Caenorhabditis elegans: one gene and its partner. The protein of the gene in region 1 interacts with the protein of each later gene in a pairwise test. Each region holds a gene or a part of one and is shown in the gene's direction. Other genes may lie near its edges.

What was found.
Region 2: the proteins of dylt-1 (region 1) and unc-104 interact in a two-hybrid assay, tested with the Caenorhabditis elegans proteins (one study listed by BioGRID).

What each region holds. Positions count from the first base shown.
Region 1 is NC_003279.8:7,299,469-7,302,972, reverse strand, and holds dylt-1 (DYnein Light chain (Tctex type)), read left to right. Parts: upstream 1-2,059; 5' UTR 2,060-2,078; coding exon 2,079-2,120; intron 2,121-2,222; coding exon 2,223-2,430; intron 2,431-2,550; coding exon 2,551-2,621; 3' UTR 2,622-2,908; downstream 2,909-3,504. Other genes in the region: Inositol monophosphatase ttx-7, read left to right, coding at 4-81, 284-420, 534-638, 747-901, 946-1,066, 1,547-1,808; BAH-4 (Glycosyltransferase family 92 protein F13G3.3), read left to right, coding at 3,011-3,099, 3,161-3,385.
Region 2 is NC_003280.10:6,992,960-6,998,177, forward strand, and holds the start of unc-104 (Kinesin-like protein unc-104), read left to right. Parts: upstream 1-2,027; 5' UTR 2,028-2,227; intron 2,228-2,974; coding exon 2,975-3,074; intron 3,075-3,598; coding exon 3,599-3,749; intron 3,750-3,796; coding exon 3,797-3,965; intron 3,966-4,015; coding exon 4,016-4,194; intron 4,195-4,487; coding exon of another isoform or gene 4,488-4,651; intron 4,652-4,826; coding exon of another isoform or gene 4,827-4,932; intron 4,933-5,218. UniProt on the Caenorhabditis elegans protein: Motor protein involved in microtubule-associated anterograde transport. Regulates the transport of synaptic vesicle precursors in the axon of DA motor neurons. Regulates the polarized sorting of axonal proteins.

The sequences.
Region 1 (3,504 bases):
TAGATGGTGTTCCAACCAATCCACGAGGAAGAGCAAGTTTTCGTCGACTACGCCATTGAGTTGGTTAAAAAAGCTGGAACGGTGAGTTGAATTCGGATTAAAAAATCAAACTGTTTCCTAAAACAACAACGTCGTTATTATCTTTGTCTTATTTTTGTTAATTTTACAAATATGCACATTTAAATCAAATGCGTAACTCGAAAAACAACATTCTCTATTCCTCAGTTACGAAACAAATTTTATTATTTGAAAAAACATCAATATTCGAAAAAAACATTTTCAGCTCGTCCGTACCGCGTTTGACTCCCCGGAAAGCAAGGTTGACACAAAATCATCGAATACTGATTTGGTGACTGAAACTGACCAAGCTGTTGAAAAGCTTCTCATCGAAGGGCTCTCCGAGAGATTCAAAGGACATAGGTAAGAGCAAGGAATTCCCACGGTCCGCTCGATTTCACTCATTGTCTCCATGACAACCAGTTGGACTTTCTTTTTCAATCGAGTATTTACATAAATTTACTATTTTGATTCAGATTCATTGGCGAGGAATCTGTAGCCGGAGGTGCGAAAATTGAATGGACTGATGCACCAACATGGATTATTGATCCGATTGATGGAACTACTAACTTTGTTCATAGGTAAGATTTTTTTTAAATCGGACTCTTCAAATAATGGCAAATCGCGTTATTTAATTTCTAATTTGGACTCAAATTTTTCTCGAAAAACAAATTCTTATGTTATTATAGAATCCCTATGATCGCAATCTGCGTTGGACTTGCAATCAAAAAACAAATTCGTGCTGGAATCGTATACAATCCAATCACTAATGAACTTTATCTCGCTCAACTCGGAAAGGGAGCTTTCAAAAATGGATTTCCAATCCGAGCATCAAAGAATCAATGTAAGTAATTGCACTTTTCTTGTCATGCACCCTGCTTTTTGAAGTGCTTTCAAAGGGAGTTCTCTGTCAATCTCTCGGTCTGCATAATCGTGTTCAGTTCGGCGATCGCTGGCTCGACATTGCCCAGTCAAACATGCGAAATCAAGTGATGGCTGGTGTGCGAGGGTTTGTTTTAATTTTTTGGTCTAAAATTGATTACTTTTTTACAAAAAATATACCTCCACACTTCCCGCGCTGGTTTTGCACGTTTTACTTTCAATTTTATTTACATTCACATAGAAACGTTGCAAATTCCAGTCATTGCGGAAAGTGTGCTCATACTTCAACTTGGCTCAATTCGATCTCCTGTTATGCAGAAATCATTTGTTGATTCTTACAAGACTGTTATGTTCGACAAACAATGTCACGGGTACTTATAAATATTTTTTATATTCTTGTCGAAATCTAGTGACTTTCTTGAACTGTGCGTTTGCAAATTTTTTGAAAGTTTTACTAAAATTGAGAAATGGATAAGATGGAAAAGTTAGATGTTGGATGGACAAAGTTTAATATGAAAAAAATCACGAGGATGATGTGATATTATTATTTTTAATATTGTTATACATAATAAAAGTTATTTGAAAAAAATCCAAGTTTTTTTTTCAGACACCGTTCGTTTGGCTCCGCCGCGATCAACATGGTGATGGTTGCACAAGGAAGTTGCGATGGATATGTTGAATACGGGATTCACGCTTGGGATGTTGCTGCTCCTTCTATCATTGTCACAGAAGCCGGAGGTGTTGTCACTGATCCAACTGGATCCCCATTTGACGTCATGTCAAGAAAAGTTCTCTGCGCTGGAACAGCTGAACTCGGACGCGATTTATCTGCATGCCTCACTCATGTCGATTTCGAGCCGGAAGCCTAAATATATATTTAACTATTTATTTTCAAAACTCACATATTGTGACATAACATTCCTACCATAACATGCATTATCTGTATTTCCAATTTAATATTAGTTTTTTGATTTTATTTTCTAGTCGTATGTATTCTCGTTTTATGAGAATAAATTATTTAAAGATGTTTATATCTTAATTTCTGATACTTCAATTGCCGTTTGAGCGCACTTGATTTATTTATACTGTCTCTTTTTTAATAATTAAACTCAATATTCAGCTCTCACAAGCTCAACATCATGGCTTTGGCAGAGGAGGACGTTCACATGATCATCAAGCAGGTACCGATATTTTATATGTCTACTGTATTAATTCTTTGAAAAACTATAATTTTTGAGTTGATTATTGTTTATTCACATTCTCGTAATCCAATAATCTTTCAGGTACTCGACGAGGTTGTAGGCGCAAGCACCCAGTATACCCACAAGGACAGTGTTCAGTGGAATCAGAAGGCCGTCGAACAAATAACGAAGAAGCTAGTGGCAGCGGGAAAACCATACAAATATGTGGTTACCTCGTCGTTCCTTCAGATCTCGAGCGGTTCCGGTCTCAATGTTAGCACGATTTCCTACTGGAATAAAGTCACGGATTGTGAGTTAACATTTTGTATTAAAACATTAAATAATAAAGAGGGAAATAAATTTATTACTCACAAAGTTCTGATTTTGAAAGTTGGTATTCAACTTATAGCTCAAAAAATCTCATTTTCAGCCTCGTACATGTACCGTTGGGAAGCCAAAACAATGCTTGCAATCGTCTATGTTTTTGCAATTGCAATTTAACAATCCACAGCTTCATCTTATATGTCTACTCTGGTTTTCCTCGTTTACCGCCAATTCTCCCCTTATTTCTGATTGTTTTTTTCTTCCCCATTCATCACACACTATCATGTTTTATATTCAGACCTATTACCTGTCCAGAAAAACTGAGCTGAAAAAATCCGGACGAGCAGCTCCTTCACATTCAAAATCTTCCATCATTTCCCCCACTCAATTCATTTGTTTTGTCTTTGATTTTCAAATTTTTTGCCTTATTATTTTATTGCTAAATTAATGAAAACTGTTACTCCTCATTTTGACCGTCGCACTCATTGAAGGTAGTTCGAGATTAGATGTTCAGATAACTTGCGGGACGCGTTAGGACACAAAACAAGTGCGTCAGATCAGCCAAAATGCTTCCACGAATAATTCCATCGGTTCTGTCTGTGGTATTACTTTTTTCGTTTTTATTTTTTGTAACGGCAGTCTTACTTCAATTTATGTAAGTATTGATAGTTAAAAATTATCACCGTTCAAAAATGATTGAAACGATAAATTTCCAGTCGAATCGATTCACCAGATCTTGAAAATGAAGAAGTATTTCATTCGGCACCTTATGATATATTCATTTATTCTGCATTTTATTATAATAAATCAAAAAGTCTCGGAGATTCTTCAATGGTTATTCTGATGACTGCTGATTTTGAAGTTTTGGAAAAAGTTAAAAATCTTGAACTTTTGGGCATAAATGACACGAGTCGAGCTATGACATCTGCTGAATTGGAAAGGTTTGTGTATTTAATTTCTTATTTTTGTGTTGATTCGAAGTTTTTGAGCTTTTCGGCACCAATTAAATAAGATTTGAAAATTCAATGAAAAAATTCAAAAAAAAAACCAAGAAAGGGGC
Region 2 (5,218 bases), on another chromosome or scaffold:
ATTCTCATTTTCTTCTTTTCTCTCTCAACTCGTCTTCAATCTCTTCACCTCGTCCACTATTTCATCCCCGGAGACTTGTTCCCCAGACGTCGTGCCTCCAATCGATCCATTTGTGGAGCCCGCGTCGTCCACAGAGCTTCTGCCGTTTCATCTCTGCGTCTCGTTCACCCATTAGACGTTGTGCTTCCTCCCTGCCTGAAAATAGCCCCACACAACATAGACTTGCTCTTCTTTCTTCTACTTTTTTTCTCATTCTTTTTTCTCCAGATACGCCTTTATTCAAATGACGTGTTTCTTTTTTTTGTCTGTTCAAAAACCAACAACTCATGATCATCAGATGATGATGGTCAAAAATCCCTTCCGGTTTTCCTTTTCTTCCCAAATTTTGGCTTGGACTTTTTTTGAATTATGACACCAAAACATGCAACGACGTATATATATGCAAACGTAGAATATCGAGTTTCAGAACCGAATCATTGTCGAGATTAAAAGGGAGGAAATTGATATGTGATGGAAATAGATTGAGGGCTGAATTTTTGAGATTGAAAAAACAATTGTATAATGTAAGTAGATAAAACAAAGCTGTATTGAATTTATAAATATCTAATACATTTTCTAATACAAAAATAAATTTGATTTTGTACTTTTCTTAAAAAGTGATCAGAATTTCCACTAGATGTTTTTGGCAACAATCACCTGATAATTGGATTAAAATTTGACAAAACTGTTTAAGTACAAGCGAACTAGATGAGAATTTCTACCTTTTTCTTTCAATTGAATATTTTCGTATTCTATCCCTCCGTGCTTTCATTTTCCATTGACGTTTTATGGTTCAATATATATCCTAAAAGTTTTCCTTACCCTTTCTCCTACTAGTTTCATCTCTTCTTCTAAATAATTAACATTTCTTTATTTAATTGATTTCTTTCCATTTCACGTCATTTCTTCATTTAGCACAACATTCTTCTTTTATTCCCATCCAATCGCCTTCTCCGTTCATTCCGGCCCCTTTTTCAGCTTCAAATTGAACAACAAAAACACATTGCGTGACGATAAAACTTCCAGTTCCCGTCTTCAAAACGTCATTCCGAGAGACTATTCGCCTGGAACCCTCGCCTTTTTTTCATTATGTGCTCATCCCTAAAAGAGCCAAGAGCTCTCAAAAACTGCTGGGGATCTTCGTGAAAAAATGTTTGGTTGAAAATTGTTGAAGCATCTTGAATTACCATTTACTAAAGGACCAAGTATACATTTTGAAATAGGCTCCGAAAGATTGAAGCATATTTTGAACTAGATAATATTAATTAAATTCATTTTGTTGGTGTTAACTTTTATTTTAAGTTGCGAGCATGTTACCGTAAGAACCTTTTTCATTTTTTATTTTAAATAAAATTTTACAATTTGTCTTGAGCAACTTGTTCTATAAGTGATATCAACTTCAAATTAGTGAGCATATAAAATTAAAATGAGAAAAAACAATAGCGTGGATAGAAAAATCACCATAGGCCAGGAAAATCTGTAAGAGATTTTCCCGTGTTAGCTAAACTTTTGAAATTGTTTACATTTTTAAAGGTTATGTTTTACCATCTGATTCTTTACAGATCGGTTTTTTTTAACATATGACAATAGTTTTAACCTTTCGTTTTTGAACCTTTAAATTTGAAAATCAATAGTTTTCATTAAATACTCATTGATTACAGTAGCCATTGGAACTTTATGTCTCCTTTCGCTGACCTTAGGGAACATTGTGCCAAAATCAGTTTTGCTTCCAAAATCAGATTCTATAATTTCTACACTGTGACTCACAAAAACCAACCAAATTCAATCATTTTTCTGTATCCTGCCTTCTTCTTTTTTCGAATGTTCTTTTTCTCCTTGTTTCTCTTTTTTCCATGTTTATCATCGTCATCTGTTGCTTCTTCTCGGCTTCTCTAATTTCAGCCCAACCCCTTTTTTTTCCTCATCTAATTAAATTCGCCTCGAGGCTCCGTCCTCCTCCATCTCTATCTTTTTCTCTTTTCTCTTCCATTCCGAACTTTTTCTTTCCCAATCGACCATCTATTCGAAGATTCATTGCTGCCTTTTTTTCAGCACTCTTCTTCATTTTTTTTTTCGAATACACATTCAATAGAAAACTGGAGAAGAAGAGGAAAAGCATCGAGGAGACGATAAGTGGGGCTCAACGCCATTGGATGATTGACTCGAGCTGAGAAGAAGGACTCAAGAGGTGAGCCAAAATTGCAAAATAGAAGAAGAAAAAATAGAAAAACAAGAGGAAAGGGAAACAAATGTCTTGTTATAGATGTTGATGTGTGAAAAAAAACGATATAGAAAAATGACATGGCTGAACGGAGTTATTATCTTGACTTGAAAGGCGGTATTCGAAAAATTCAGATTTTACGTTAAAAATTCCCTTTTTAACTCAAAGTACCCAAAAATGGGCTAAAATTCAAAAATACCACAATAGAACACTTAAAAGATTCTGTAAGTTTGTAGGACTGCATTTTAATCCTAAAAATATGGTTTCAAAAAAATTAATTCATGTTCTGAAATGTTACTAAGGTTTTGGAAAGATCGCAATGAGCTTTAACTTTTCAAGATTTTTCTTCAAGAGTTGGTAAAATTTTTGACATCAGTAAACTTGTAGTTTTAAAAAACTTTTAAAACCCCTTTTCAATTTGTTTCAAAATTTCAAAATGTTCAAATCTTAATGCTTAAAATTGAAATTCAATGAAAATAGATCACAATTCACGTCATTTGGCATTTGCTTCTTTTCCCTGCCTGAGCCAACATTTTCTAATCGAATCAACCATTAATCTGTTTTATTTCGTCAATTTCTTTTTTCCTTCTTTCCTTATTAGCATATATCGATCTTACTTCAATTGTTTAAATAAATCTCAATAAACAAGTTCAAAATAACATGTGAATTCCAATTTCTACGAACGAATTCTTGAATTAATTAAAACAATTTCAGATGTCATCGGTTAAAGTAGCTGTACGTGTTCGCCCATTCAACCAACGGGAAATCTCGAACACTTCAAAATGTGTCCTTCAAGTAAATGGAAATACGACGAGTAAGTGCCCCAAGGGATTTAGAAATGGCGGGTGACATTTGAGACTGAGTTAACCCCTTTCTACGAAATATTTTCCGAGAAAAAAGGATAGGCTGCCGTCCCAAAATGATGCGAAAAACGTTGGTGACGTCCAAGAGTCTTTGGGAATAATTGAAAAGATGAGAGAGAAGCAATGCATAAAAAAGAACAGACGGGGTCTTGAAATGAATAAGAGGAATTAAAAGATATTCTGGAGGTATGGGATTCAATATTGGGATCTACCATTGAGCAATACCACCACATGTTTCGTTCCGTGTTTCTAACACAGAGTTTTTGAAGCATAGATAGGTGTTCATATTTGCGTTGGAGAGTAGTGATCTCCAAGATATATTTTTATACACAGTCTTTAAATGTTTTATTTTTAAATTTTAATTTTAAAGAATGGTTGTAAAATATGCTCAATTCAAAGCTCCCTGATAACAATACATGATACTGTAGTAGCATACTGTATGAACTGTTTCAAATTAAAATATTCCAATTTTCAGCAATAAATGGTCATTCAATTAACAAGGAGAACTTCAGTTTCAATTTTGATCATTCATATTGGTCGTTTGCGAGGAATGACCCACATTTTATCACCCAAAAACAAGTATATGAAGAGCTCGGAGTTGAAATGTTGGAACACGCATTTGAAGGGTTCGTTTGATGTACATAGATTAATAGTTTAAATAATTGACTTCTAGGTATAATGTCTGCATTTTTGCATACGGTCAAACAGGATCAGGAAAATCATATACAATGATGGGAAAAGCCAATGATCCAGATGAAATGGGTATAATTCCACGTTTGTGCAATGATTTATTTGCACGAATTGATAATAACAATGATAAAGATGTTCAATATTCTGTAGAGGTAATTATTTTTGATACATTAATTCATGGAAACTAACAATATTATTACAGGTATCGTATATGGAAATTTATTGTGAACGAGTAAAAGATCTTCTGAATCCTAACTCTGGAGGTAACCTAAGGGTTCGTGAACATCCTTTACTTGGACCTTACGTCGATGACCTTACCAAAATGGCAGTTTGTTCTTACCACGACATTTGCAATCTGATGGACGAAGGAAATAAAGCGAGGTGAGAGAGTGAGAGACGGAGAACATTAGAGAAAATCAACGGAAGTATCATGGCAAACTAAACCAAGTTTAATGACCGGGGGTATACACAGGTAACCCGCGACAAGCGAGCGATGACTTGCATGCAGGCCGCGTGCAAGCGAATGTAGAACCAAAAACACGCGTGTACGCGGCCTATCCCTCGCCTGTATTTCGCTTGTTAGCGGCCCATCGTTCGCCTATTATTGACATGTCTGTGAGATGGAATCCTTCCAGGATTCGTTCCACCCGCTTGTAGTTTTCACTTTCTTTTCTTATAATATGACAACAGTAGTTTATTTAAATAATATTTATTTAAGAAAAATTTCCAAAAATGCAAAAAAAAATTAGAATTTTTCGGGATTTTCCCTCGTTCCGCTGTCTCTGCTGCACTTGGTTGCTCTGTAGATGCTTTTCCGTGGCGTTTCCGATTGGCTAATCTGAAATTAAATACATTTTTGTATAAAATTGTGTTTTGTTTGCGAAAAATACAATATGAACTGAAAAGTTAAAGGTAGAGTTAAGTCAATTTGCGGTTTTGCCATGAATGATAGCAAAAACCAATTTTGCAAAAATAAAAGAAACATTTGAAGCTAAAATAAGCTAAAATATTACCTCTTTCAAGAAATCCTTGGAAACTGAAGCGAATTTTCAATATCCCCGCGTTCATCCATCGTCTCCGCGCTGCGTGACACGACGGTCGGTGGCTGTTCGGCAATCTTTAAATTTTGCATTATTTCATAGTTTATAAGAATTCAAAGAACAGAAATTATAATATCCCGTCTCTCCTTGCAAAAAACAATAGAAAAAGTGAGAAAAAGAAAGAACATCCAATTCTCATAACAAAAACTACGATAATTGCGAAATAATTGCCGAATAGTACGAATTTCATCGAAAATATGAGAAAATCAAAAATTATCGACATTTTCTGTTATGAAAATTGCATAAAATACGAGCGAAATGGCTTTAAAACGTTGAAAAAGATGAGAAAACGGAAAAATTGTTCA